Linked DNA regions of Alligator mississippiensis. The protein of the gene in region 3 interacts with the protein of the main gene of each other region in a pairwise test. Links are inferred from orthologs where the notes say so. Each region holds a gene or a part of one and is shown on either strand. Other genes may lie near its edges. The genes, in order: TPD52, ARFIP2, MAL2 and PTPN9.

Region 1 (7,442 bases), about 31 Mb from region 3:
AATGCTCAGTGCAGGGCTGGGGAGAAACAGCGGCGGCAGCAAGTGAAATGGCGAGTGACTGCCAGCGAGGGCAGCAGGCGAGTGGGATCTGCTCCTGCACGTGGTGCTGGAGCGAGCAGGGAGGAGTGGCGGTGGTGAGAAAGGGGGAGAGGAAGGCGGTATGACCGCGGAGCCTGGGCTGGTGCCCAGGGCAGGGTGGCAGGAGCACAGCAGGAATGTTGGCGGCAGCAAGAAGGGGCAGGTGGGCAGGGGGCATGAGCATACCTGGTTTGGCAGGGAGGCGGGAGTGGCAGGCCACGTGTGCATTATCCCTGGACGCAGTGGGGCCAGGACTGGACCCGTGCCGTGTTCCAGTCACTCGCTCGTCCACGGGCATGGACACCTTCATGAGCCTGCAGCAATCTGGCAGTGGCAGATAGTCCCAGTGCTGGGTGTCCTGGAGGGAGCCCCTGCTAGGTGGAGTGGAGTGCGAGTGCTGGCAGGCAGCTGGCCCCACTGCTTCCCCCATGCCGGCTGGAGCCTCGCTGCCTCCTTGCTGTAAATCCCTGGCTGGTAGGGCCCAAGGCGGGGCAGCAGGAGCATGGGGTTTGGGCCTGCAGGTTGTGTGGAACCAACTATATTTATTTACATTAAATCCTGTGGGGAAATGGGTTTCACTTAATGCTGTTTTGCTTAGCGCTTGGTTTTCCCAGAACCAATTAAGAGCGCTAAGCAGGGGTTGCCTGTAGTGAATTTGTGGAGTAAGGAAAGGAAGGCTGGGTTGCATTGGGTGCGGGGATGCTCTTCTAGGTCAGAGGCAGGGAGTGGGAGTAGGCCAGTGGAGTGGATTGCTCTTTACTTTGGGGGGTGGGAATTTGTTTTGTGACACTCAACTTTTAAAAATTAAAACAAATTATTAAAATAAATTTCTGTTTTTACTGCTGTAAGCTCCCATGAGCCCTTTCTATGGAAAGGGCAGCATAAACCAGTAAAAATAATCAATAAATTATATCAAGGGAAATCATGACTTTTTTTTTTTTGCTTGTGTGTTTCTGTTTTAGACCTACCTAATCGTCATGGACTCCAAGGGAAAACCAACTCTTATTGAATCCTCATGCTGAAATACCCAGAGGATGCTAGTGAAATCTTGCTTTAGTTCTGTGTACTCCTTTGATGAGAACAGTTTATATTGGAGAACAGTTCTCTGTGCATGTTGGAAGACTTATACTGATTGACATCTAGAATAAAAGTAGGCAAATGTAATAAGCTTAAAACTTCCCTTAGAAAACTACTTTTACTTGACTTTCCTCCATATTTCAAACCATCCTTCATTCAGCCTCTCTCTCCCATGATTGCTGAAATGTCAACATCATATTCCTATCAGAAAACTTAGCAATATAGTTTTGCATTTCACAAGTCCAAACAATGTTCTCTAAGTATGCTACAGCCCTGCAGATAAGAGGTGCAATAGATTGAATATGCTTTTTTCATACCTACAAGTAGGTAGTCTGGTGGCTCAAACAGGACCATGGTTTATGGGTTTTATGTGGTAAAATGACAGCTGAAGACATATATCATTGTGCACTGTAAATTCACTGGCGGGGGGGGATAAGGGAGAAGCAAAGAAATGTTTATAAATTTGCCATGCCATAACTGAAAACTGATTCCAGCAATCAATGTAGTGAAGTTCTGGATACCCTCAACTGTCATTTTGTAGTAGAGGACAGACAACCAAACGGGAGGGATGTTGAATCTTTTCATGGGTAGGAGCCACTGTTTGAACAGTTGGACTAAGATGTGAGCAATAACAGTAGATTTCATTCTGAGGCCTATACTTTAGCCAGGCTTTAAGAGGCAGCATAATAACGCTTATCAATAATAATAATAATTCTTTTGTGGGGCTACATAGTGTGCAAATGTTTAAGCACCTGTGAGGACATCTGCAAGATAAAGGCTTAAGCAGACCTAATTTCTGCCTTTTGGCCCCCAGGCTCTGTGTTGATGGGAACCCAAAAGCCTCACTAAAGAGCTGCAGCAAGTCAACAGCTGTGAAAACAAATCTGTATAAATTGGGGGTCTACAACCTGTGACCCACAGGCTCGATTTGTGTGGATGTCCTAGCACCTGTATGCATACCTATCTGGTCATCTCTGACTCCAGGTGGAAACCCTACATGTTGCATCTCTGCTTCCAATAGCTTCCAGTGGTTCCCCAATCCAGGAAAAGAGCTGTGGTAGGGCATTTTAAGGATCAATGTCTTTGGCTTTGCAAGAGCCACATCAAGCTACTTCACAAACAGCATGTGGCTTACAAGCCATGGATTGGCTGGTGCTGACTACAACCAACTTTAATCAGCAGCGAAAGCTTCCAGTTGCATCTTCCTGCCATATACTTAACAGCTGCCCCAACTCTTTGGTCTTTAGTGTGGCACTTAACTCTGACATGGTAAACTTAATGGTAAAAAACAAACTAACAAAAAAATACCCTGCTTGCTTTCCACTCTCCAAAGGCATTTAACCCCTACTCTTCTCCCTTTTCCCCACCCTCCCCTCCATTCCTCCCTTCCTCTCCTGCTTTGTTTAACTGTATTTTCCTTTTATTCTCTAGAAATTCCTTTCATCCAAGGGGAACAATGTGTGTCTCCTTCCTTTTTTTCTCCTCCCTTCTCTGTGGAAAAAATACTCTGCCCTTTCCATTTGCACAGAGTTCCTCTTAGGAAGCGCTTTCTTTTCAACTCACCCAAGAGCTATCCCTGTTCATTCTGAGGAAGGCAGTCAGTCATGGTTGTCTCCCGCTGGCAGAGAAGTGTGGGTTATACCTTACTGTGTAATCTCACCATGGTCCTGTGGCTCTAATTTTAGCAGCAGTTTCTTTCCCCAAAGACAATTTGGCCTTTGTAGAAATGCTACGTCCCTGGAAGCTATTGGAATCTGGCGCTTTAGTTGGTTGAGGGAGAAATCTGCTCAGAAAGAAAGAAAGTTCTTCAGTGGCCTGGTAGAACTCCAGTGGAATGAGAGCATTTGGGTTCCACCATCACATGTTCTTGTAAATACCATGTTTATACACTTGACATGAGGGCTAAGTACAGATAGTCAAAAAGCCCAAGGTTGAATCAGTTCAGTCTTTGCAGGTTAGTCTAAGCCGCAGAGATTTAACTGAGAAATAACTGAACAGATATTTACTTTTGACTCGGGAAATACAGCCACATGCCTGCAGTAGCTGAGGCCAGAAGCCAGGGAGGCTAGAGCATTGCTTTCTGGCACATAGCCAGCATGGGCTATGTGTTCGCTTCCTTTTCCTGCTGCCCCTGATGTCTCTGGGATTTCCAGTGCAGACTCACATAAGCAGAACTCTGCAGGGTTGTTCATCACTTCCTTTTCCTGCTTCCAGGTGCCTCTGGGATTTGTAGTCCACAGTTGTGGGCCCCCAGTAAGTTTAGCAGGGCAAGGCAGCTCTGTACTCAGGAGAAGTGGGGTTTAACCCTCCCTCTCCCCTGCATCCTTCTCTGCTGGAGCAGACAGCCCAGCCCAGACCTGCAGAGCATGCTGGGGGGTTGTGATTTAGCTTGAACCAGGAAGGGGTCTGGGACAAGTTCCATAAAGCGGTTTGACCCAATCAGTTAAGTCTGATACTGCATTCAACCAGGTTTATCTTTAAGCCAGTTTCAGCCACTTTGAAACTGGTTTATGTGCTCTGAGCTTCCGTTCTATGGTTTAAACCAGTTTCTGATCACTTAAACTGGTTTATGTGTAACATCTGTCCCTAGCCAAGATGGTTGAAACAAGGAGGAAGATAGTTGTACTGCTAGTGGGGCTTTTCTACAGCACTCTGTCTTTCTGTAACAGACTTATGGAATGTCATGGTACAGGCCTTAGGAGGCAAAAGAGAAGCTGCTTTGTTGCTGCCCTAGCTATCAAAGCTCCGAGAAACAGAATTCATACAAGTGATGGGGCAACCTACCTTATCTTGAGAAAGTTGCAAGCGTGTACACAGCCCTTTCCTTAAATGAGTCTACTTATTTTAAACCCTAGAGACTGGCGCTATATTATAATATTGCTAAGCTTGCACTAAGCGTAATGTTTCATTAGTAACAACAATACCTGGATTCTGGCTGACGATTGCCACACCAAAAATAGCAAGAGAAATGGGGAAGCTGCACATTCAGAACTCTTTTCTATTAAGGAAAAAGGCCAACACAGATGGCACACAGGGTGGATTATGGCTAGTAATCTTCTTGTGTCCTAGAAGATTAAGGATATCCTGAGGCAACTGCAGTCAGCTGACATTTACAGTTAAGTGATTGAAAATTCCTGATGTAATTTTGCAGCAGAGCAAGACCTTCCAGAAGCCTGTGCATGCAATATGCAGCAAATGTTTGTTGAAGGAACGTTCTGTTTTTTTAAACCCAGCCCAGGTTATAGATTTACAGAAACATAACTGCGCACTGTGTGGACTGTACCAGCTACGACGTGGGAAGAAGTAACTTATTAAATGGGTGTAGTGAACCCAATCATTAAAGAAATCTCAAAAGTTGTCTGAGGACAGCGCCGAGTTGGAAGGCATAGCATCTCTAAATCATATGGCTTGAATTTTTGAGGGAATGGGGCTATGTACTGACAATTGGGATGAATGCTTCTCTGGGTGCTGAGATAAGAAGCCATGCAGTTTGAACTAACTGGAAAGGATTGAAAGGATATGGATTCATATGAGGATTATAAATCGCCATTTGACTTCAATGCTGGAGTTAACAGAAACTACCTCTATCTGTCACCAAACGTGAACGTCTCTCCACCTGAATCACCTGCATTGAAGAATTCTGGTAACTTCTCAATCTGTTTTTTGTTTGTTTTGTTGTTACTTTGTTGTATTTCTAAAAGAAAAACAAAACTTTTCTGCAAAAAAAATATTATTGCTACATTTGCAGCAACAGCAAACAACTTCTGGGCCAAATTCTGTCCTGAACCACATTTGAGCAACAGTACAGAAACTAAAAGGGTTGCGTGGTATAAATAAGGACAGTTTGGCTTGCTATTTTAGATGGAATAAGTGGTACTGGGATGATTGGGGAGGGGGAGTGGAAATCTTGGATGAACTGATTGTTGTACATGATATGACTCAAATTAATATACCTGTGAGAATTGGCACTTCCAGTTCTTACTTTTAAACAGGTTTTTATAAGTAAGGGTAATACAGAAAAGCTGTGTGGGCTGTCCTAAAGTAACAGGTGGTGAAATTGAATCTCAAACGTGGGAACACTTTCTCCAGACCAGGAATTACCTTTGTCACTTATAACCCATTTTGCAATTAAACCCAGAGTGAAAGGAAGTATCAACAAACAGCCAGTTTTTTTGTAGCTAATCCCCCCCCCCCCCCCACACACACAATAAAGCATACTTCAGTTTAAAATACCTGTGCTCTTAAATGCTGTTCATAGTTGTTACTATTTATCCTGTGACAAAGTATTGCTCAGTTCCAGCAGAGATGCCCCTAATATCTTTAAATGATATCCCCACATAGTTTTTTTTTTTTTTTTAAATACAGTAGGCAGGCTTTCATGTACATGCAGATACTTAACTGTACTTTATGGCATAAACAGCAGTTTCTTTTGGGATGAATATTTATTTTGGGGCGGGGAATAATTCTGCTAATGGAGCACTGAAGAAGCCTACATATTACCCTTGTTTTAAACTGTAAATAGGTTTTTATAAGTAGGGTCAGGAAGTGCCAATTTATATACACACCTCAAACACTTGTATACTGTTTCTCCAACCCAAGAATGACCTTTTATTACTTCCCTAACCTATTCTTGATTCTGCGTTCCTTCCCACCCACAAGATTCAAGATTCAGCTTGTGCCTAATTGTTAGCAGTGAGGAAACCCAAGGTAGAGGGATTTTTTGTTTTGTTTGTTTTTAAGACATTCTGCCAAAGAAGTTTGACTCTAGAGAGTTAGGGAAATATAACAAATGAGTGAAAGCTGAGGAAGAGAGTGACACAAATGTTGAATTGGGTTTGCTATATTAGATTTAGTGGCTTCTGGAGAAAAGACAGCTGTTTGCTACCTTCATATTTATTTAAGGTGAGAACAAAGACATTCTAGATGTGCCCAGCAGATTTATCCCACCCCCTGTAAAACAAGGGAAAGGAGACTTAGAAGATTCTCTCAACTTTACTTTTCTCTGGCATTACAGGAAACTCTTCAAACCTACTAGCTTTTGTTTATGAAATCTAAACCAGCAATATCCTCTGCAGTCACATACGTAGAAATCTTTACCAGCTTTGTCTGCTTGGCAGTTGAAAGAAGAAGGATTGGTTAAGGTTCATCGATGCAGCTATATTCTTAGATTGATGGGCAGCAGTGGTGTCTGTCATAGGATTTCACTTTCTTATGAAAGCATTCCTATGTCTGGGCACTGAGGGCTGTAGGGTCCTCTTCTCAAAGGGGAGTCCTCCCAGCCCCAGTCACAAAGTCTTACAAAATGGCTAGGCTTCCTTGGTCACAAAAGTAAATAGCTTATACCTTGCAGTCTATTTTTAAGTCTTGGGTGGGGGTGGGGGTTGGGCTGTTTTTTTTGGGGGGGGGAAGGGGGAATGAAGAACAAATTGGGAGGGAAACCTTCAAGCCAAAAGGCAACATAGTAAGATGGTTGAGAATGTGGGGTTTGGAACTGGTTGGCACTAACGGTGCTTTGATTAGTAGATTTTCTTAACTTGCTAACAAAAATAGATTTCTCAAGCTATTGGAAGAGATAGGTTTCAAGCTGAATGACCCCTTTTGGCTCAGTTTCAACAAGATTCACTTCTCTTACTGTTGGGTAGTTAACTCACTTGGTCCTGTTTTTTTCCTTTTATCTTCTGACAGGTCTAGTTGCGTTGACAAAATGTATTTACTTCATTTGTTAAAAGTGACACGTGGCTTTAAAATTAACTAGGTTTCTAAAGGAATGCTCTCATCTCATCCTTCTCCTCTGCAAGCAACTTTATTTTTGTTTTAGGGACTGTTTCTAGTCTGACGAGGACATTGGTTTTCAGTTTGGTCTAACTTTTTAATCATCGGTGAACTAACAGGATCTCCGTATATAAACTTGAAGTAACCAACTTGTAAAATATAAGCAGACTAGATAGCTCTGCAAACTCTTAATAAAGTTGTATTTAAATATGTAAGAATTAAACTGTATTCTTGAACATGGACAGTTGGAACTGGGTTGGGTCAGTCACTTGCTAGTGATATTTCAGCATTGTTTACCCAATTTAAATGAAAAGCTTTTTGCCTGCTACTGGGAAGCTAATTCGCTAAAACTCCAACTGTATTATAGAGAGGCTGGTGAAAAATCCTTCATTATTATCCTTAGTTACCCTACTGCTCCTCATCCATACTGCAACACAAGAATGTCACCTGTCATAGAACAGCAGCACTTTCAGGAAAGTCAGATGTGTTCCTTCTGCATCAAAAGAATTCAGACC
Region 2 (6,835 bases), on a different chromosome or scaffold from region 3:
GACCTGGCCACGTCCCCCATGTTCACCACCACGCCCAGCCTGCCTGGCCTGGGGCCAGAGGTCAGAGTTCAGGTCCATGGCGGCCCGGCCGGCAGGCGGGTGCTCACTGCTCCTCCAGCCACGAGGGCTTCTCCGCTCCCGGGGTCTTGAGCTTGATGTTGAACTGCTTGAGGCTCTGCGCCAGCTGCTGCTGGTTGCCAGCGAAGTAGGCGGAGATGGCGTTGTGGAAAAGCAGCAGCTGCTTGTGCATCACCTTGATCTGGGGGCGAGGGGGGCAGGGGTCAGCCCCACAGCCCCCCCACAGCCGCCTAGCGCAGGGTCGAGGGCCTGGCCCCTGATCTGGGCAGATCAGCGCTGCCCGGCCACCTCTGGGCTATTCCTGAGCTGACCGGGAGAAACCCCTGCCTGCCCCCAGTGCAGCGTGGCAAGGCCCTGCAGGGCTGGTCCTGGCAGAAGCATCGACACAGTCCAGTCCCCATCCGTAGCCTGGGCTGCATCAGCACCCATTGCTGCTGAGGAAGGGGAGAAAACCCCTGACCCCAGGAGCAAGAGGTGGAAACAATTCCCACCCAACCCCACGGGGCAGCAGCAAAGCCCGGAGGTTGGGAAACACCCGCTGCCTCCGCTCTACACCCTGGGGCCAGCCAGTAGGACCCGCACCACCCCACACTGCACAGCCCGAGCGCCCAGCTGTGTCCCCCCACGGGTGCGTCTCCTGCCACGATCCGGCCGGGTGCAGCTCTGCCTCCTCCTGCCCCTGCTCTGGGCACAGGGTCCTTGGGAGGTCCAAGGGCGCTCAGGGTGGGGGCTGCTCTGGGGCGTCCCGCTGCCTCTTTTCACCGCACGCTCCAGGCGTCGCTGCAGCTCAATGCCCCCTTCCCAGCGCCTGTGCAGTCTGTGCTGGGACCCCCCCCACCGAAGACCATCCCCACCCTAGGCGCGTCCCACACCTCGCTGATGCCAGGGAGGTCTCTCCTGCCGTCCCACCTACCCTTGCACACGGCATCCAGGCTCCGCCACACCCAACGCCCAGCTATTGCCGTGTCCCGTGGCCACCCCCCAGCGCTGCCCCTAGCCCAGCTCCGGGGGCTGTGAACAGACCCTCCCACCCCCTGCCAGACCTTGTTCTCCTCCAGGAACTTGAGCTTGATGGCCACGTCCGCACGCAGCTTCTCGTACTTGTCCTTGTGGCTCTGGAATTGGCTCTGGGCGACATCCAGGCGGCAGAGCGTGCTGGCGTCCCGCGGGCCCAGGCTCAGCTCCTCCAGGTCCGTGCGGTACGCGTCATACTCCAGTCTGCCGATAGGGGCGAGACCGGGGTCAGAGAGAGCGTCCCCACCTGCCCAAGCCCCAGCACCCTCCATGCCCTAGCATCCCAGCCCTCCTACCCCTGCGCCCCTCACCTGACATCTGCACCCCACACCCCTCCCTTGGCCTCCATCTCTCTCCAAGCCCAAAACCTGGCTCCCACACCTGGCAGTCTCGTACTGCTTGACGGTCATGAGCGTGTCCTCCATGGTCTTGTTGACCAGGGTGTTGATGCTGGAGACAAAGAAGTTGACGGCGCCGAGCAGCGTCTCCCCGTTCTTGCACAGCAGCTTCTGCGTCTCCGCGTTGTACCCGAACTCCTCCTGCGGGCACAGCGCAGGGTCAGGCCGACGCCGCCCAGCCGCCACCATGCACCAGCCATCACCCGTGCTGCGGGAACGGGAGCGGGGCCCGGAGACCGCGGACCCCGGGCTCCACCACGTACCTGGAGCTCGGGAGACTTCTGGCTGAGGTCGGAGAAGGCGTCGCCCAGGGCGTGCTGGGTCTGCACCAGGCTGTAGAAGTGGCTGGTGAGGGCGCGCGCCAGCTGCAGCACGCACTCGTACTTGCGCTTGGTCTCCCGCAGCAGCTCGATCTGCGTCTCCAGCTCCAGGTCCACGGTGCGCGACCCGCGCCCGAACCGCTCCGAGATCAGCTGCTTCGTGCACTGCGGGTGCGGGGGGCGTCAGCACTGCCGCACAGGCGCCCCCCCCCCGCCCCGCGGCCACCCCAGGGGGGGGACCCACCTTGTACGTGTTGATGCCCCACTTCTTAACGATGTCGAACTTCTCCACGGCGATGCCCCTGACGACCTCCTCGCCCGCGGCGGCGGGGCCCGGGTGAGGCGGGTGCAGGCCGGCGCCTGCAAGGCGGCGGGCGGGGGGGTGAGCGGGGGCAGGACCGGGGCGGGGGGGGTGGCGAGGTCCGGGGCGGGGGGCGGAGGGGGCCGGTACCTGCGGACGCGCCGGCCTGGCTGGCGATGGAGTCGCTGGGCGACACGGAGGGTGGCGGGGGCCAGCGAGGCCGTGCGGGACGGCCTGGAAGGGGGGGCCAGGCCGGGGGGGCGAGCGCGGGGTGAAGAGGGGGACGCGAGAGCGTGGCTGACGGGGGTCCCCGGGGCAGCTCGACCCCCACCCCCCGGCGCCCGCGGGCCCCCACCTTTGCCGGCGCCCGTGGGGATGATGCCCTCGGCCGTGCCGCCGTAGCCGCCGGACACGATGCTGGTCTCGTTGAGGTTGGGCCCCGACACCATCACCTGCTGCAGGTCCTGGGGGGGGGGGGGGGGGGTGCGGTGAGCGCCACCGCGGCAGTGCCCCTCCCGGCCCACTCCTCCCCTCCCCTCCCCCCGCACCTGCTCGAGCCCGTCGTCCTCGGCCAGGCCGCCCGCGTCGCCGTTGCCGTGGATCGGGATCTCCATGGTGGCCGCCTTGCCCAGCAGCGCGTCCGTCATCCTGGGGCTGGGGGGGGCGGGGGGGTGCGTCCGGCCGGCCCCAATCCTGGCCCCGCGCCCGCGGCCACGTCCCCGGCCCCGCCCCCACGCCCCGCCGGCCCCGCCCCCTGCGCACCTGTCCCCACCCCCACCCGGGCCCGCTCCCGCTCCCGCTGCCGCTCCGCACCTGCTCCGGCGCCGCCGGGTGCCCCCGGGAGGCCCCGATCCCCGCTCGGCTCCGGCGCCCCCCCCCGCACAGCGGAATAGACGTCAGAGCCCGGGCAGGGGGCGCCGGGAGGCGGACAGAAGTGACGACATACTGAAGCCAGCGCGCGGGCGGAAGGGAGTCCCCCCCTGACGCGGACGAAGGGCGGAAGTAGGGGCGGAGTTGGCGTCAGAGCGAGGGCGGAAGTGGCGGCGCGCGGGCATGGAGCCGTCGGCGGAGCAGCAGCAGCTCCGCAGTGTCAGTGCCGGGGGTGGAGGGGGGACAGGATGGGGCGGGTAAGGGAGGCGGGAGCCGTTGGTCCGACCCTTGCTCCGTTGCAGCTGCGGGATTTCCTGCTGCTCTACAACCGCATGACCGAGCTGTGCTTCGCGCGCTGCGTGGCCGACATGGACTGCCGGCCGCTCACCCACCCCGAGGTGAGTGCGGGCGCACGGCCCCGCCCCCGCCCCGCTGGCCCCGCCCCCTCGCGCTGACCCCGCCCCCTCTCCTGCCCGCAGGACTCGTGCGTGGAGCGCTGCGCGGTCAAGCTGGTGCGCGCCAACCACAGCCTGATGCGCGCCTACGTGCGGCTCATGCCCGCCCTCGTGCAGCGCCGCGCCGCCGACCTCGAGGCCGCCGCCGGGATCGACACCGGGACCGGGACCGACACCAACGTGTTGCAGCGGGCGCCGCAATAAACCGTCCCCCTTCCCCCCACTCCCCCGAGTCGGCTGCGGGCGTGTGGGCGGGGCCTCGACGGGGCGGGGCTCGCGCTGGCCCCGCCCCCTCCCGCGCCGCCGCTAACGGCCCCGCATCCGCCCGCATGGAGCCGCCCGACGGGGCGGGCAGCCCGGGGCCGTCGCGGTGAGCCCCCCACCCCCGCCCCGGAGGGTCCTGGGGGTCCCTGTGTCCAGCTCCTGCGCGGGGCGCCCGCGCTCACAGCCGCGCTGCCCTGCAGGCCCCGGCCGGGCTCCCCCCGCGCCGCGCCGCCCCGCACGGGCGTGCAGACCGCCGAGGCGATGGTGCGGGACAAGCCCCTGGGCAGGACGGAGGTCGCCTACCTCAACGTCGCCGCTGGCCGCCACTACCGGTAACGGGCGGGGCTGGGTCACGGCTCCCGGGGGCTGCACCCCCCCCCCAACGGCTCCCCGGGGTGACGGGCACGACGCCGCCCTCGCCGGGGCGCCCCCTCCTAGCCGTGCTGTCGCCCGCAGGCCGTACAGCCTGGCCGCGGTGCCCAAGGCGAGGGCGGCCCCGCAGCACTACGTCTTCTCGCCCTTCGGCGTGCTGCACGTGCAGCCGGGGCAGGGGGCCGAGGCGCTGGCGCTGGGCGCGTGGCACCGGGAGGCCGTGCTCTGGGGCTTGCTGCGCGGCATCCCCGTCTTCCGCCGCTGCCTGCTGCGCGCCGCCTTTGCCCGGTGAGTGTCGGGGCCGGGGCAGGGCACGGCATGGCGGGGTGCAAGCCGGGCCTTGCCCCATGCTCTCGTCTCTTCATCCGGCAGCTGGCAGCGCGGCACCCGGTGCCTGCGGATGCAGCAGCGCCAGGCGGTCCTGGGCGCCCGCCTGCTCCAGGCCGTGCCCCACTTCGGCGCTGCCCTGCTCCATATCTCCAGGTGCGCGCGCCGGGGCTCCGGATCCGTCTGCAAAGCGCCCTTCTGCCGTGCAGGCCGCGTGGGGCCGGGGTCTGCCCCCCTGCCCGGGGCAGCTGGGGGGAGCACGGTCTTGCTGCAGGGCCTCGCCTGAGCGGGAGGGGATGATGCGGGGGCTGGGGTTTGGCAGGGGGCTGGGTGTCCCCCATGGCAGGCGGGGTGGGTCCCCCCACTTGAAGCCTTATCTGCTCACCCACCCACCCGTGCAGGCTGCTGCAGGAGCTGCGGTCCGTGCATTGGCTGCCCCAGGACAATACCCGCAGCTTCAGCTTCCCGGAGCTGCAGCGGGCCCTGGTCCAGGAGAAGAGCCACGCACGTGGCCTGCTGGCCCGCTTCCTTACCCTCTACACCACCATCCTGGAGCTGGTGAGCCCAGCCTGGCCGGCCGCTCACCCGAGCAGCCCGGTTTGGCGTGGCATGGCGCGGCACGCCCCTTCCATGGGTGCAGCACCCCCTGCAGCACCGCCCCTTGTCCAGTGGGGCAGGCAAGCGGGGGGCATTGGGGGAGCGAGTGCCCGCCCCTCAAACATGGGGCCACCTTGGCAGGTGCGCAATGACACGTACAGGATGGCGCGGGGGCTGCAGAGGGGGACGCAGGTGTGCGGGCGCCCCCAGGCTGGGGGGTCCGCGCACCAGCAGCGCCTGCAAAGCGAGGGGATGCAGCGGTGGCACCGGGAGGCCGAGCGCTGGCTGGGGCAACTGGGCAGCCTGGCCCGGCTTGTCAACCTGCTCGTGGCCCAGAGCCTGGTCTCCGTGGTGCAAGACCAGGTCGCCGCTTTCGTCAGCCACGTCATGCAGGTGCGGGGCGGGGGTGCCGGCCTGGGTCCCCGTGGCTGGGCTTCTGGGGCCGTCCCTGCCCTGACCGCCCCCCTGCCCTCGCAGGCCGACGGCGCCAGGCGCGAAGCCGTGCTGCGGGTGCAGCTGGTCTTCGATGCCGACAACCAGCTGGCGCCCTTCCCCTCGCGCCAGGCGCTGGAGGACAGCCTACTGGGTGCGCTGGATGCTGTGCTGGAGTCGGTGCTGGAGGTCAGTGCCCTCCACCCGGCTCTAGCCTTGCCCTGGTTGCAGGGCCTGTCCGTTTGGCCCTGGGCTGCTCTGTCGTGTCTGGCCCAGCCCCAGGCCTGCGGCAGCCGTGTGGATGGCAGGAGCCCGCGGGGGCTGCAGTGAGGCCCTGGAGACCCGCTGTGGCCCACGCTTCCCCACAGGTGTGCCAGACCAGAAAGGAGCAGCCGGGGTCACTGCCCGAGTCGAGTGCCTCGGAGGCCGGGATGGCACCAGGCCTGGACCCGCTGACCGGTGCATGTCCTCACCCTGCTGCAGCCCCAGGGCTGAGCGGGGTCCTCCCCTGCCCCGGTCCTGTCCCTGCCCCCAGCTGCAGCAGAGGGGCCACCCCGGTCCCTGCTACGGGGGGCTCACACTGCCCCCCATGCACAGCCCTCTGGGAGGCGGGGAAGGGCAGCATGGGGACCCCCGTGCAGCTGCTGCCCAGTCTGTGGGATGAGGTGCTGGGCACACAAGAGCAAGCCCTGAGGCAGCCCCTCGCGGGCCTGGAGGTGACGGGGCGCCGGGTGCACGGACACTACCCGGAGCCGGCGTGGGAACAGCTGGAGCAGGACCTGCGCACCAATAGCCGCATCCAGGGGGCCCGCGCCACCCAGCAGGCCCAGCTGGCGGTGAGTGTGGGGCTGCATCGCCAGGACCTGGTCGCACCCCCACCCCCTGCACTCATGGTCCCTGGGCTGCGGCCACTCTCGCTGCTCCCCTTCCCTTGGGGCTGCATTGCCCCCTTGCAGGGCAGCCACAGCCCAGGCACCCATCCCACGCCAGGCTGCTCCCGAGCTGCCCCAGGGGCCTGGCCCTCCCATCGGGACCAGGCAGGCCCTTCGAGGGGGTAGCACTGGCCAAGCCCCGACACCCCGGGCAGAGTGCCCTGCGTGGGAGCTGGGGCAGCACCGGCCCTGCCCCACGCGCTGAGCCGTGGCTGCGGTCACAGGCGGCGCTGGACGAGACGCGGGAGCTGTGCCGGGAGCACGCCTGGGTGGCCGAGGTGCACACCTTCGTGCAGGGCTGGAGCCCCACAGCACTGGAGGTTATGCGGGGCCAGCCGCCCAGCACCTACGCCGAGCACGTGGCCCAGCTCCGCGCCTGGGCCCGGCGCCTGCAGGACCTGCCGCCCGCCGTCGTCACCCGCAACCGCCTCTTCCTGGTGGACTGCAGCAGCCTGCAACAGGAGACCGGTGCGTG
Region 3 (7,796 bases):
AATAAAGCTATCAAACTGGCTGTCAGAAAAATCTCAATATCCTGGTATTTGAATGCTGATTTATGATATCTGCTAGTTTAAATGTGACATTGGTGTACTGTTACCAGTAGATTACTGAAAGAAAAGTCTATGAGGAAGAAACTAAAAGGCTTATTTCTAATCTTACTTCGTGCCTGTTTTATGCTAATTTGATTTCACTGACTTCACTAGAGCTACTCCAGTTATTATCAGAATCATAGTTGGAAGTACAAGACGTATGTGATATGAATCCAAGTTTAAACAAGGCAGTCTAGATCCGCTGAAACTGGCAGCTGGTTTTACATTTTTTGCTATATTAATAATTACCAGATTAAGGAAAGCAAAAAAAAAAAAAGTTCTGCAAGGCTAAAAAGGACCCAAAGAGCTTTCTTGTTATTTTTCTACAGAAAGAGAAAGTAACTGGAGAAGACTGTCCTTATACTTCCGAAAAAAAACCCACATTGAACTCTGCTCTATTTATTTTAATGAAGCAGTGTGCACAAATCTGACTGTGAGCAAATATTGCCAGCATTTGACTCCTAGCGACGACCATGTGGGTGCCTACTTTAAAAAAAGAGAAATACAGATAATATGCCTTATTTCTGGGAGCCCAGTCCTTGGTGGCCTTTGTTTCACCCTGACACTGCAGGATGAAACAAAGAAATCAGAATAGCTATACATAGTCTCCAGTGGTCTTGGGAGAGTTCAGTAATGTTTATAAAAGTTCTTTGAACATGAAATCTGATATATCATTGTTATTACTACCTGCAGATATCTTTAGCTGCAAATCAGGAAACCTTATACCATGTCCAGGTGATAAGGAAATATAATGCAGATTTATGGCACACATAATATTAGCTGTCATATCTCATGATCATTGCATTCACAAGGGAGATATAAAAGCTGCGCTGCTTTTGTCCAGCCCAGTAGGCATTGCCATGTTTCACAGTTAACATGGCAATATTTTGTGGTAAACACTTCAGGGAATTGAGAGGTTTGTGACAAGCTGTCTTCTCTATTAGGGTAGACCATAACAGAGGTGCCTAAAAGATGTGATATGTAATATGTTATGCCTTAAACTTTGCTATGGGCAATGCCACATGTCATAAAGGATTATAGTTTATCTTACGTTTTGCATAAGCCATTTCTGTTTATGTGGTTTGGATCAATGGATCAATATCCTTTCTAAACCTACAAAGCTTACAATTCAGCATTAACTAGCTTCCTACAACACTTCCACAATTCTCTTAGGCTCTCTCACAGCTTGGAAAGACTACAGCAGGCCGAAATGCAAATATTTCAAATATTTACACATATGAAGCGAACTCTACAACATAAACACCTGCTTAAGTCTCTGAATCTAACTGATTAGCATCCTAACATTTAAAATTCTTAAAGGATTCAGACTTTTAAAACAGAACAAAAATCCATTAGAATCTGCAAGCATGTAAACTGTCACAAAAGACCATGTAAAACAGAGGCGAGCAATTATTTCGGGTAGAGGGCCACTTACGAAGTTTTGGTGAACTGTCGAGGGCCACATGGGTAGCCCTGCCCCTTGACAGTTGCCCCACCCCCAGTCAGACACCTGCTCTTGGCTGTGCCAACACACAAATTTTGCATGGCAAAAATCATACCAATCTACCAATACAGAACATGTTACTTATTGGTGACCAAACAGCTTTTTAGAAATAGCTCTGCCTCTGGCATTCTCTCTCAAGCTGCAAGTATTGACAATATCTACTGGTATGACGTTCCATTGGACCAGCTGGTACTTAATACTTCAGTCGAAGTTAGAGCAAAATAAAACTTGAAAGAAGGCAGTAAGCCAAACCCAAAGTTTCACAACTGCCACTAATGACCCAAATTCATCAGGAGCTCTGTGATAGTGTGAAACAGGTCTGCATCAAATTGTGAATTGTTTTTAATTTGAATCTCCTTTTTGCATTAGTGCTGAACATGTCAAAACTTGTTCAAGGCAATTTATTTTAGTGCCCTGTGGACAGTCCCTTTCTAATGAAATATTCTTGACATTTGACATTGGTGAAGGACAGCCACTAACAAGCCAGTCTAAGGCAGCTGATTCTGATTGTCCCTCAACTTTTGGCACCACAAACAATGGGCCTTCTGCACAGAAGCCGGTAGGGTGAGCATCACTGGGTGAAAGGGAAAATTCCCAGTATAACTCATGTTTAGCGACAGGGTCTAACAGAAGGTGTTGTCCTGTAGCAGGTGGGGGAGGGCTAACATGCATCACAGAGAAGAAAAATATGCAGGAAAGGAGAGTGCAAAATGGATTTGATCCAGCCTGAAAAACTGACAAACCACAGATTGGGAGAAAACGTGGTATTAGAGCAGTGGTCTCCAACCTTTTTATGGTGAAGATCACTTTTTGGAACTAAAGGTCACCCCAGGATCTACTGTGTCCCCCTGGCTGCCTTGCCCCCCTGTCCTGCCCTGCCCCGCCCTGCCCCACTTCCCTCCGCCCCCTGCCCCATGCTCCCCTGGACCATGGAGTGTCCCAGATCCAGCTGGGCCTGATCCCCCTTCTGTGCTGCAATTGCACTGAGTTGCACCTGCCCAGCAGCCAGAGAAAGGTGGTGTTGGGCCCTGGCTTGGCTGGGTCTGAAAGTCTCCATGGTCTGGTGGTCACTGGGGGAGGGCATTCTTGCTGCTGGGTGCAGCGTGGCAAAGAACCCAGGGGCCAATGTCCCCCAACCTGCGCTGGGGACAAGGTGGCTGCTGCTGTGGGTTGCCTGCTGCACCCCGAGCACAGGTGGGAGGGGCACGGGCTGTCAGGGCCTCCACCAAGCTGTGCCCAGCGGTGGGAGCACCCCCCACGCACCCTTGGACGACCAGATCTTCCCAGATCTGGCTGGGCCAAGACCACCCCCACGTGAGTCCCTGCTGCTGAGCTGAGCCGCGCCTGCACGTGGCCAGCTGTAGCAGGACTTGAGGCACAGCGGCAGCAACCTCAGCCGCCTCTGCCCCCGCAGAGATGGGGAGGGAGCCCCAAGTGCCACTGGAGGAGCCTCCCTGGGCTCCAATCCTCCCACCACCTGGCCGGACTGGGGCCCCACTAACCTTCCCCTGCTCCTGGCCGGCCACAGTCAGCCGCTCGCCACGGAGACCTCAATCTGGCCCCTGCCCCTTCCCTCCCCCACAGATTGACCTGCTGGGGCTGGGGGCAGTGGGTGTGCACAAGTGCACATGCCCAGCTTTCCCCCCAACCCAGGATCTACCAAAAGAGGCTCTGGGATCTACCTGTACACACAGGGTCTGGACACGCCCAAAAAGTACATCTATAAGCCACGACAGGACTCAGCTGGTCTGAGACTGATACTGTGGGATACATGGCTGCTGGACTATAGAGTCCCATATCCCAGTGAAAGGCTCAGAAGAAAGATTTGACCCTGGGGACATATTGTGTACACAAGAGTTGGAAACAGGGACTAGATTGAGTCCAGACCCAATTGGCTGAAACCCATGTGTGCCCAGTATTTGGGCCCATTTTCAATACATGATCCTACGGAGAGGTACTGGTCCAGGCTGCATCATTCATTACTTCTGAAAAATCATGTGTCGCACCCAAAAAACTTAGGAAAACTTAAAACTTCAGCTCCTGCCACCATGAACATACTGTAACCTCCACTTTTTTTGTTTGTGCTGCTTATTAAAAAGTAGATCACACAGAATGGTCATACAGAAAACGATCTTAGAGAAAAGCCTCTGTAACCAGAAGGTAAATGCCGTCTCCTCCAAAGTTTAAAGTTTCATGATCTATACACGGACCTGGCGTTTTGCAGGGGAACTGACTTGTGACTTCCGAACGCTCGGCTTGGCAATACCATTAGACCTGTGATTCTCACCACCTTTAGACCCGAGACACCCCTGGGTAGACTCAAGGACTCTCAGCGAACACTCTTCTCCCCGCCCTTTCCCTAGCCCCAGTCTCTGTCCCTCACTGCCGCGGGAAGGCATCCCTATCTGTTCCACTGTAAACTAGGTATGCTTTGTGCAAATTCAATGTAGGTGCTGTTCCCCAGGAACCAGAGATGATCCAAGCAGGGTGCGTGGCCCAGGGCAAAACAGCCTGTGCCGGGCCCCGCTCCTGGATGCAAGAAACCAAGCGGAAGATTTGGCAATGGGGGGAAGGGGGTGGAGCTGGCTCTGCAGGGCCCCCCAAAGCACCGGGCCTGTGGCAGTCACCCTGATTTGTGCCCCCCCGTCCAGGGACGGCATCTACGGCATAAATTGAAGGCAACATTATTGTGCCAGTCATCTTCAGGCGATGCTATATGTACCCTGTGTGAAGAGCTCGAAGGCCACCAGGCAGCACAGTAAACACAATGGGGGACAGGGTTTGAACTTGCCCGCAGGGGCACGTGTTGGCACTGCGAGGGCCCCCCTCCGTATAGGCCTGAGGCACGGCGATTTAAATGCATAGCTTTCACAGATTTCATAATAACGCAGCGGGCTGCAACAGCAGCCTCCAAGTCCCCGGAGGGGGCTTGCAAGAGGATGGAGCCGGGCTGCTGCCGGCGGTGCCGAGGGCAGAGCGAGGAGCGAGGGCTCCAGCTGCAGCCAGGGAGGCTGAGGTTGAGGAGGACGGTGGCGAAGCAGGCGGGCGAGCTGTCCGCGCACGGTGCGGGATCGCCGTCCTCGCGGGCTGGAGCCCCGACACCGCCGCGCCGCGTGGGCCGGGCGGGGCCGGGGGCGGGAGCGGGAGCGCCTCCCCCCAGCACCTGCCGGCACCTCCCCCGGCGCCGCCCCGCCCCGTCCTACCTGGGCGCAGCCACGTCCGGGCCGCAGCGGGATGTCGGCCCGCGGGGGAGCCATGCCGCCGCCCCCCAACCCTGCCGCCTACTTCCCGGCGCCGCGGGTCACGCTGCCCTGCGGCCTCGACATCCTGCGCACCTACTCGGGGGCCTTCATCTGCCTCGAGATCGTGAGTCGGGACCGGGACCGGGACTGGGACGGGGGGGAGGCTGCCGCGTCCCGCCACCGCCACCGCCGCGAGCGGCCCCTGCGCACGGGGCCCGGGGCAGGCGGGGGGGACGGACACGCGCGACCGCCCGGGGACACGGCGCGGGCACACGCGTCCACACGGCGGGCGGCACACGGCTGCGTGCGGAGTAGGCGCGCCTACGTGCGGGTGCACGCGCCTCTCTACCTGCGTGGTACACACACACACACACACTCCCGCGCCCTACATACAGAGTGCAGGCAGCTACATGTACACAGCAGGGTGTGTGCACTCCACAAGTATGCGCACCCTTCTACCCACGTGGTTCACACACACACACTTCTACATACAAAATACAGGCACCGACATACAAAGTACACACTCTTCTGTGTATAAATTACACACACCCTTCTACCTACATAGTTCACATGCGCACACTTCTACATACAAAGGGCATGCACCCTTCTGTGTACAATGTATGCGTGCCCTTCTACCTATGTGGTTCTCACACACACACACACACACACAAAATATGCACATCTACATACCGAGTACACGCACCCTTCTGTGTACAAAGTATGCGTGCCCTTCTACCTATGTCATACACACACACACACTCCTACTTACAAGATACAGGCACCTACATACAAAGTACACGCACCCTTCTGTGTACAAAGTATGCATGCCCATCAACCTATGTGGTTCACACACAGACACACACGCACACCTACAAACTGCAGACACCTACATGCAGAGTGCACGCACCCTTCTGTACACAAAGTATGCACAACCTTCTACCTATGTGGTTCTCTCACACACACACACACACACACACACACACACACTTCTACATACAAAGTGCAGGCACCTTTATGCAGAGTGCACGTACCTTTCTGTATACAAAGTATGCATGCCCTTCTACCTACATGGTACGCACGCACACACTTCTACATACGATATGCACATGCACACTTCTATATACAAAGTACAGGCACCTACATACAAAGTACACGTATCCTTCTGTGTACAGAGTATACGCACCCTTCTACCTACATGGTACGCACACACACACACCCTTCTACATACAAAGTAGAGGCAACTACATACAGAGTACATGTACCCTTCTGTACATAGAACACACTGTTCTACCTGTATGGTACACATGCACACACTTCTACATACAAACTGCAGGCACCTACATACAAAGTGCACACACCCTTCTGTACTAAGAACACACTGTTCTACCTATATGGTACACACACTTCTACATACAAACTGCAGGCACCTACATACAAAGTGCACACACCCTTCTGTACTAAGAACACACTGTTCTACCTATATGGTACACACACTTCTACATACAAAATGCAGGCACCTACACATGAAGTGCACGCACCCTTCTACATACAAAGTATGCGTGCCCTTCTATCTATGTGGTACACGTGCACACACTTCTGCATACAAATTACAGGCACCCTTCTGCATACGAAGTATACACACACATACATGTTTCTACATACAAATACACACATATGTGCTTACATTTCCTCAGCCTTCTATCTGCACGCCCAACTTTACCCAAGTGCCCTCACTGAGCTCACTGGGACAGGTCAGGTCCTTAGAATTAAGCTGGAGCAGAAGGGTTTTCAGCTTCGCAGCTGTGATTACTAATTGAGCATGAGAGCCTGGGGAAATGTAGGTTACAAGACTAGAGTCTTACTTACAGCTGCAGATTTGAGTCGACTGGTCTAACCACCAGAGGAGCCCTGTACACACCTGACTTCCACCCTGTGGCTTCTGTATGTGTGCAGTCCTCCATTCTCAGGCAAGTCAGAAATGACCCTGAGTTAGTTAACTCCTTGATGGTTTTGCCAACCAGTGTAATACGAGTGCTGTGCCTTGCTTTAGTTCCACTGGACAGGTGCATTATCAGGGAAATCATTGTCAAAGTAGATACTAAAATTAGTAACCGTGATGCCAATCTCAGGGGTGGGATGCAGTGGAAAGACTGTGTGGCTATTACCCATGAAATACCTGTTTTCTGCAGAAAGGATTTGAGACTCCAGTGCCATGTTACTGTAGAAGGAAGTAGGTTTTCTCACAGCAGATGCATCATGAAAAGAAACTGTTGAAAATAGCTTGAAGGCTGACAGACTAACCTGTGAAATTGTGAATTCAGGCTGCCAGTGCATCTTTACATCAGATGTATTGGATTCATATATGCTGTGTTTTAATACCACAAAGGATTTACCTGTTCTTACTGGAAATTGAGCCAGGCCCAGATTAAAAAAGAAACTAAGCAGGCTTTCCATTGAAGTTCTTGCTATCTGGAAAAAAAAAGGAAAATTGCTTCCAGCTTCATGCCTTGGGAGGTATACACTGGAAATGGCCACTCAGCCTGAATTTGATCACTGTCATTACTGCCCATTGTCTTAAATAAGGTCTTAACTATTAAGCTAAATTAAGCTTTCCATCTTAAAGAGGATATAGGTTGTAGCCATGTTGATCTAAAGACATAGGAACACTTTCCAGTGGCAATGGTGATTTTAATGGGTATCTTTTGTTATAGATGAAGACATATTCATTGTGATCAATCAGTATGCTACAATGACATTTGGGAGGGCTAAATTCTGCTCTTTGTTACATAAGCTTAAGTGCAAAGAACTTGGCCTATCTCTTCCTTTTACTTAGCCTTCCAGATCCAGTCTGCCATCGCTTTTCTAACCTTAAAATATTTTACTTTTCATTTATTGCCTTTTATCCTTTTGTCCAAATGTCATGTGCCTAAAGGAAAATAAGAATAAACTCAGTT
Region 4 (7,451 bases), on a different chromosome or scaffold from region 3:
AGCCTTGTGGGTAGCAGCCATCACTTATTCCTTCCTCCCCATGACTCCACACTGCCAACACCCCCCCCCCCCCCCCCAACTGGGCTCCATACCCTGGATTTCAGTGGTGGCCCCTGCCCTTGAATTCCTGGTCTCCCAAGAGCCTGCAAGCCAGATGATATAGCTCCAGCATGCAGGCCATATGTTTGATACCCCTTCCTAAACACACAACTGTAGTAGAAAATGCATGTGTTTTAGTTTCAGACAGCCTATTTGAATTAATAGGTGGAGATGAAATTTTATCCTGTAAATACCATTGCAGATTGTGTTCCTGATCTCCAGGGAGATACCTCTGTATGTCTCTGAAAAGAAATTGCATCCGGTACAGGACGTGATATACACCCTGACAGCAGGAAGATTCTGTACACACAGCAGGTCTATTTATCTTCTTGCCCCAACTCTACAATACCCCCATTCTTTCCAGAAAATGCTGGTTTCTATGCTGGGAGTTTGGGAGGCTCAAGATCACTTGATTGGAAAGCCATTGTTCGTAAGAGAGATGGGCAACAGTAATGTAATAACTTCACTGGAAATTGCTTGGAAGAGCTTTGGCCTACTATACCCTCTTTCTTCACACACAGCTAGGAAATGACACCCCGGGTGTGTGAACAAATTCAAGTGGCTTGAATGTTCCTCAGATGATTTCACACAGCTGGTTATTATTAGTGTGTGAAGAAATGGGGGGGGTGTGGCTGAACTATTTGCCTTTCTCTTTCCCTTCATAGTGAGAAGGGGGGGAGCATGCAAAGGAGCAAGTTGGCCTGAGACACATGGTTTAAATCAGGTCTGTCCAAGTCATTTGGCCCTGTGTGCTGGATCCAGACCACAAGTCTCAGGGGCCAGATGGTCCATCTCTAACAGCAGGGCAGCAGTGGCTCAGTGTGGCTGTTGGAGTCACTGCATTGGTGCAAGTCTGGCTGCCACTTGCTCTTCCTTTTCCCCTGCTGTTGATTTGGTCACCAACAGTGACCTAAGACCCCAAAGTTAGCCCGGGTCAAGCAGCAGAGTTTTTACCGTAGACTCAAGAGCTGCTCCAGTACAGCAGCTCTGACAACTGCATCAACAAGCCCCGTGGGCTGAACAACTCTGGCTTAAACCAGTGGCAGGTTCTGCATGTTTACAAGAACACTGCTCTCTGTAAGCTGCAGCTTCAGGTGGTAGAATTAGTGTGCTGGGGGCCTTTGCCTTTAAGCTGGGTGATGGAAGGGCCTTTCTTGACCTTTCCTGCCTCAGGCAGGGGGTTAGACTAGATGTGTTCCTGAGGTCCCTTGCAGCCCTACTCTATGATTTCTATGAACAGTTGCCTATTGTATAGCAACAGATAAAAGACCCTAGGTCATTACTGAGTAAGCGAGGGTGCTATTCCGATTGCACTTGGAAGATCTGGATCAGAGTTAGCATCCCTCTGGTAAAGGCTGGGAAAGCTGCAGCTCAGATTGCAATTGGATGTTCTGTCCTTCACAGATCTTTTCAAGGTCCTGCAGTAGAGAGAGGGTAGTGAGCAATGTGGAATACAACGGCAGATAAAAGGGCTGTATTGGCTGTTGTCTCTGATGGAAGAGGGAAAGCAAAGCTCTTTTCATATATTACAAAGAGGCCCCATCCTGATATTGCTGCATAACTCTCTTTAAAAATACCATCCAGGCTCTGAAAATATTGACTTTGCAGTTAAGGTTGGAAGTGAAAGTGTGTGGGGAGTCACTGCAGCCAAAGCAATTTTTTCCATAACTCTTATTTGCTGGGCGTGATAGTCTTATCACTGTGTTCTCAGTCCTCCTCCACACCCAGCATGCACCTGTTCCCACTACCTGTAAGTGGTGACGTGTAAGTGTGTCAGATGCCAACAGTCTGCTCAAGCAAATGCTCAGTAGAGTAGGGATGACCACAGCATAGCCTGTGTAAGTCTACAGAAAGAAAGTTTAGAGCAGGGGTGTTAAACATATGGACTGTGGGCCAGATCCAGCCCCAGGGTGCAGCTGAATGTAATGCCCTAGGTTAGAGGTTTCTTCATCCCCAACATAGTGCTGTAGTCCACAGTTGAGTCCCAGCTTGAAAGTAGAAAGGGCACTGTCAGCTGGGCTCTAGCTTCTACAGGCTTTGCTTCTATATAGAAGACAGGGGTGGTCGCACCTGTGCTCCGTTTTGTCAGTTAGGTGCAAACTCCTTGGTTGCGGGCAAGTTGCCAGGCCAGGCCTCATCAGCTAAATAAAATGTCCACCCCTGACACAGCCATGGAGGCCAGCTTGGATGTGGCTTTTTGACAGTGATGGTTGTTGCAGTGCTTTGACCTGCCCCCAGAGGCAGAGCGTAGTGTTTGTCATGCAATAATGCTCTGAAGAATGTTGTTAAAAAGCCCGTTGGCCTGCAGCTGTTCCCATATCCTTCCAACCATGGCTGCTGTTCATCTACAAGTAGAAACAGCCTCCAAGACTTCTGTTGCTGAGATGGAGACAAATCTTTGGTAAGCAGGGGGCTGAGGGGGGGTTGTGGATACTCTGGCTATGTCGTGATGGGTCCCGAAATTTCTTTCTGTTGTATTATGGAAGAATGGCACAGAAAGCCCACTGATCCCATTCATATTTGTCTCTCTTGTCTTCCTCTAAAACAGTGAGAATATCTGTGTGGGTATATTTGTTTTTATACTATTTATTTATAGAGGTCAAATACATCAATGGCGATGGTTTCCATGAAGTGCCGCCATGAGCCAGGGTGGCTGAAACCTCTGACTAGTGCCCGTTACAGTTCCTGGTCTGCCAGACAGTAGTTTTTATATCACCCAGCCCTGCCTGTGGGCTATAATAATAATTGACCAGGTGAATCACAATAACATTAAGGTGAATGTACCAGAAAAGCAAACATAATGCACAACATAAATCATTACAGGCCAGTGATAGCCATGGCACTCCACACTTAGGGGGAGGCCCCATCTTTGATGTTCAGCTTTTCAGACAGCTTTACTGATTTGGACCGAGAGAGTTCCTATGAGCCCATAATGAACCAGGGGCTTTGGTGTGCTAAACCCAGTAAAAGCAGAACAAAAGGAATGGTCCTTGCCCCAAAGAGCTGACAGTCAAAGTTAAGACAGGAACTGACAATAGGCCATGGGAATATTGACGGTAGTCATAAATCATGGGGAAGGTATAATCTGCATCTATGAGCAACACTTCCCCAAAGGAACAGTCATTCTGTACATCTGAGTTCTCTCTTAATGGCCACATACCAGAGAGGGAGATAATGGTGGATTAGAGAAATCTGTTTGATTCCTGGAGAAGGGTGAGTTGTGCAGTGTGTATTTTTTGCAGGACCTGAACTTGGGGGTTGAAATGATTTTTCTCGCATCAGATCTGAGTCTCTGGATGCACACCATAGCAGTCTACCCTAAACTTGTCTCTGTGGGTGTAGATACAGAGAGGAGGCATTTGATTTTTGACAAGAGAGCGCACATGAGGATGGAGGAAGTGATGTGTTCAGAAGCTGCATTCAAATCTGTATCAGATTACAGAATACAGCCAAGAAGCAGGGACCTATAGCTGAACTGGTGAGCCAGATCTTTGAGCCCAAGGTGACCTTTAGCTGTTTAGTTTCTCAGGACTTTCGCTCCTTGCTCCCCAAAATGCATTTTTTTCACATCACTCAGCTCCACTGGGGGCCCTAATGTAGACAAGGGACTTGCAACTACTAGCATTTTAACCACCATATCCTGGAGATCATCTTTGCATTAGACAGCCTGGTAGGTAAAACACTGACAGCTGCTGGAGCATTGCTTATCCTAGCCCCTGATGCTCAGAGCAGAGTACCCACATTGTATGTACTGAATAGATCCATTGGTTTATCCTGCCCTTAAAAACAAAACAAAACCTACCTCTATGTTGGCAGACATTAGGGGGAGGGTTTTTTTTTTAAGGGCAGGGCAGACTGATGGATCTATTCGGTACATCCAACATGGGTCTGTATTTAAACCCCAAGGCCTTGACCCCAGCGCCAATAGCCTCCTAGAAAGAAGCTGCACCATTCACTGCCCGGCGTCCTGCTCCTCCGCTTGGAGTCGGCGTGGGCGCCCGCGATGTGGGGTGCAGCCCCCGGGCACGGCTTCCCCCGGGCACGGCTTCTCCCGGGCCCGCAGGCCCAGGGCCTGCTCCCCGCTGTGCCGGGACACACGCGGGGCCGCGAGGAAAGCCCTCCTCCTCCCCGCCCTACACCGTGCCCGAGGCTGCAGGCAGGGCGCGGGGGTTCGCCGGGCGCCTCCAGGGCTCCGCGGGCGCAGCCGCAGCCCGGGACAGGACCGGCCTGACCCAGCCCCCGGCCCTGCCGCGCTGTGAATGGAGGCGCGGGGGCTCCGCCCGCCGGCCGGGGGAGGGGAGGGGGCTGTGGCCGCCTCCTCCCAATCTCCCTCGCTCCGCGCCGCCGCCGCCGCTTGCGAGGCTCGGGGAGCGGCGGGGCCATGCGGGCGGCGCGCTGTGGTCGCGGCCCGGGGCGCGCGCGGGCGGCTCCACGTGGGGACTCGGGTGGGCTCTAGCCGTGGCCGGAGCCGGAGCAGCAGCCGCAGCCGGCGGCGCCGGACGAGCGGGAGGCGGCGGCCGGGCCGGGCCGGGCATGGGCAGCGCCGCGCCCCGCTGAGGCTGGGGGAGCGGGATGGCCGCGGAGCTGAGCCCCGAGGAGGAGCAGGTAGGACCCCCCCCGCCGACCCGCACCCCCCCCCCCCCGCGGGAACCCCGAGTCGGCGCGTGCGCACTGTGGCCCTGGCCCGGGGGGGCACCCGCGCCTGCTCCAGTGCGTTTGGTTGGGGCGGTGACGAGACACTTAAGATCGTTTCGTGCTCGGGCGGCTGCGTCCCCGCGCTCCGCTCCCTGCAGCCCCGCGCGAAGAAGAGCGGGCGGGCGCCAAAGATTTCCCCCCCCCCTTTGCATCCTCTGGCTGGCTTGAATGAACCCACCACCCTGAGGCACGATAGCTGGACCTTCCTGCCACCTCATGTGCTCTTACAGGGTCCCCCCAGCACCTGCTGCTTGTCCCTGAGCCTGTCACAGGCCCTACATGTGACCTTGGGGAGGTGACTTTGTGCCTCAGTTTACCCATGTGTCAGACTGGGATCTCTACAGCAGTGACTGGGTTGGGAGCCTGGTGCCTTGTTACAGGTGCCATGTGATGCCACTCCCTGCTTTGAAACACGCTGGGGCAATGATCTTTGTCTGGAATTGTTGCCTTGCTGCTTTTAACCTGCTGCCCCCCTCCCCCCCTTCCTGTTTTGTCCGTTTGGTTCAACTCTCGAAGGCTGGAGTGGAGATTTTTCTGCTTCCCACGCCCTGTCTCTGCCCATGACGTGCGCATCTTCCTGCCACCCTGTTGCGTCAATGCAGGAGGATGTTGTATGCTTGTAGACACAGACCCTCTGCTGTGACTTTGCAGGGCCCGGGGTGCTAACCTCATCCTGGCAGTGACCGGAGAGCTATTAGGGAAGTGTAAAGCCAGCCCTGCTTTTCCCAGGGCCCTGTGCCGACTTTCCTAAGCTGCATCTTTAAGTCTTCTACATCCACGGTTTCTGCCTGCTGTGCCTGGCCCTGCCTCTTTCCCTGCCCTGCTGTACTTGCTGCCTTCTACCTGCTTCTCTCAACTCCTCTCCTATCCTGGCCCTCTCATGGGACTGCCTTCTTTCAGTGCAGGCTGAGACCAGATGGCTTTGAGCAGTTCTCAGACCAGACAAGGAAGTGTCTCTTCTGCTAGTCTCGGGAGTGAGGAAAGGGAAATACTGCTTCCTCTGCTGACATAGAGACCAGAGCTGTTGTGAAAAATCCAGGCCTCCTCCTGGTTCTTGTTTCAGTGGAAATCAAGTCTCAGCCTGGCCCTGGTCTTGCATCTGCAGGCAGATGTTTGTGCTAGGCCGTACCAAAGTCAAGGCCATGGGACTGTTTGTACATTACAGTAGAAAGTTCAGCCTTGCAGTTGGCTCTTGTATGTGAGTAGAGTACAATCTCAGTCTAGAGATTTCAAACAGTAGGGGAAAGAGGCTAGATTGTTTAAATATGATTTTTTCAGACTTGCTTTGCATATTCAGAGTGATTTTCTTCAGTCCACCTGAACACCCTCTAGTGAGCGAGGTGGTATTATCCACGTCTTGCATTAAGACGCAGAAAAGCTTGGTGACTTGCCCTGGCTCCCACAGGAGCAATCCCAGCGCTGGGATTGGAACCCACGCTTTGTACCTTCCAGCCACATGCCCTGACTTCACCTCCATCTCTTCTCTTAGGTCACAAGAGAGGTTTGTAGTAATGAAATTTCAAGATAAGTTTAATCAGATCTCTGGCTTTAGGGCAAGTAATCCTGTCAGGGAGCAATTACCATGTCGCATCCTCAAACTGGTGGTCAGGTGCATTAGGGTGGTTTATTTGGTCTTCCTCTCAATCATCATGTAGTGCTTGCTGTTTCAGACTGACCACTGTTCTGATTTGATATAGCTGATCCTTTGTTCTCTTACTCTGCCGTTGTTTCAGAGTGAAATGCCTGTATAGAGTCCAAGGTGTCTTAAAACTCTCGTGAATGCACGTCTACAGTGCGAGAGTCCTTGGAACAACAGCAGAGAAACTGATGTGGATATTGCCCCTGTGGAAAATCAGAGATTGGATTAAAGTTTAAGAGCATGGCTGTAGATTATTTTGTTAACTTTCAACTCTGCAGTTGTAGACAGAACCTCATCTGCCTTAAGAGTTGCAGGTAAACCTCTTTCATCCCTGTGTCTGAGAAGAGACATCCTAAATGAATGTTGGGTTTAAGGAGCAGAAACTGTTAAAAAAAAATCTGGGCAGTGTTTGTGGGGCAAGGGAACGGGGAAGAAAAAGTGGCTTTTCTTAAGAGGAAAAAAGTAACTCGATAGTTTATATGTAGAATTAAAGCTAAAAGTACAGCCTACTTGTTTATATCTGGGAAGTGATCAGAAGATGCTGGTGTTAGAACAGAGGTCTGGGATTGCCCTGTAGCTGCCTCACATTCCTGCTGCCTGCCCCTGCAGCAATGCAGGCTGCCATTTTGATTCACTTTCCTTCAGCCCATATCATTCTCAAAAAGATCTGCTCTGCTCGCCTTCCACATCGCTCCCAGCAAGCAATTGGCACAGTTTTATTTGACCAATGCTGGCTCCCCCCCCCCCCCCCCCCCCCCCCCCCCCCCCCCCCACTGTTGCTGCTCTTCTCTTCCTTTTCCTGATCAGAACCATACAGGGTGCAGGGATCAGTATATGAAGACAACACGCTTTCTCTTTTCTTACTCTGTTAAAGGAATGGTCAACATGGTCAAACAGTATACTGAGTCACATTGGGGAAGGTGATAGTGGCAGAACATCACCCTTTCTGTATAGAGAACTAAGGCCCTGTCCAGTAGTATAATGTATATGGTTCAGTGTTAGATCCATTTCCTTACTT

The links.
Region 1: the proteins of MAL2 (region 3) and TPD52 interact in a two-hybrid assay, tested with the Homo sapiens proteins (2 studies listed by BioGRID and IntAct). The link is inferred for Alligator mississippiensis from reciprocal best matches to the Homo sapiens genes MAL2 and TPD52.
Region 2: the proteins of MAL2 (region 3) and ARFIP2 interact in binary tests that used the Homo sapiens proteins (3 or more experiments, as listed by UniProt). The two-hybrid records come from large-scale screens. The link is inferred for Alligator mississippiensis from reciprocal best matches to the Homo sapiens genes MAL2 and ARFIP2.
Region 4: the proteins of MAL2 (region 3) and PTPN9 interact in binary tests that used the Homo sapiens proteins (3 or more experiments, as listed by UniProt). The two-hybrid records come from large-scale screens. The link is inferred for Alligator mississippiensis from reciprocal best matches to the Homo sapiens genes MAL2 and PTPN9.

What each region holds. Positions count from the first base shown.
Region 1 is NC_081826.1:54,103,367-54,110,808, forward strand, and holds the start of TPD52 (tumor protein D52), read left to right. Parts: upstream 1-4,435; 5' UTR 4,436-4,674; coding exon 4,675-4,798; intron 4,799-7,442.
Region 2 is NC_081824.1:483,430,566-483,437,400, forward strand, and holds the start of ARFIP2 (arfaptin-2), read right to left. Parts: upstream 3,015-6,835; 5' UTR 2,925-3,014; intron 2,766-2,924; 5' UTR 2,759-2,765; coding exon 2,660-2,758; intron 2,576-2,659; coding exon 2,467-2,575; intron 2,171-2,466; coding exon 2,055-2,170; intron 1,976-2,054; coding exon 1,754-1,975; intron 1,632-1,753; coding exon 1,474-1,631; intron 1,297-1,473; coding exon 1,122-1,296; intron 260-1,121; coding exon 104-259; 3' UTR 1-103. Other genes in the region: TIMM10B (mitochondrial import inner membrane translocase subunit Tim10 B), read left to right, coding at 3,165-3,200, 3,284-3,379, 3,461-3,640; DNHD1 (dynein heavy chain domain-containing protein 1), read left to right, coding at 3,766-3,806, 3,901-4,032, 4,157-4,360, 4,445-4,555, 4,801-5,617, 5,797-6,264, 6,585-6,828. UniProt on the Homo sapiens protein: Plays a role in constitutive metalloproteinase (MMP) secretion from the trans Golgi network. May have important functions during vesicle biogenesis at certain cargo subdomains, which could be predominantly utilized by secreted MMPs, such as MMP7 and MMP2.
Region 3 is NC_081826.1:23,438,643-23,446,438, reverse strand, and holds the start of MAL2 (protein MAL2), read left to right. Parts: upstream 1-4,786; 5' UTR 4,787-4,834; coding exon 4,835-4,966; intron 4,967-7,796. UniProt on the Homo sapiens protein: Member of the machinery of polarized transport. Required for the indirect transcytotic route at the step of the egress of the transcytosing cargo from perinuclear endosomes in order for it to travel to the apical surface via a raft-dependent pathway.
Region 4 is NC_081834.1:28,032,286-28,039,736, reverse strand, and holds the start of PTPN9 (tyrosine-protein phosphatase non-receptor type 9), read left to right. Parts: upstream 1-4,439; 5' UTR 4,440-4,671; coding exon 4,672-4,704; intron 4,705-7,451. UniProt on the Homo sapiens protein: Protein-tyrosine phosphatase that could participate in the transfer of hydrophobic ligands or in functions of the Golgi apparatus.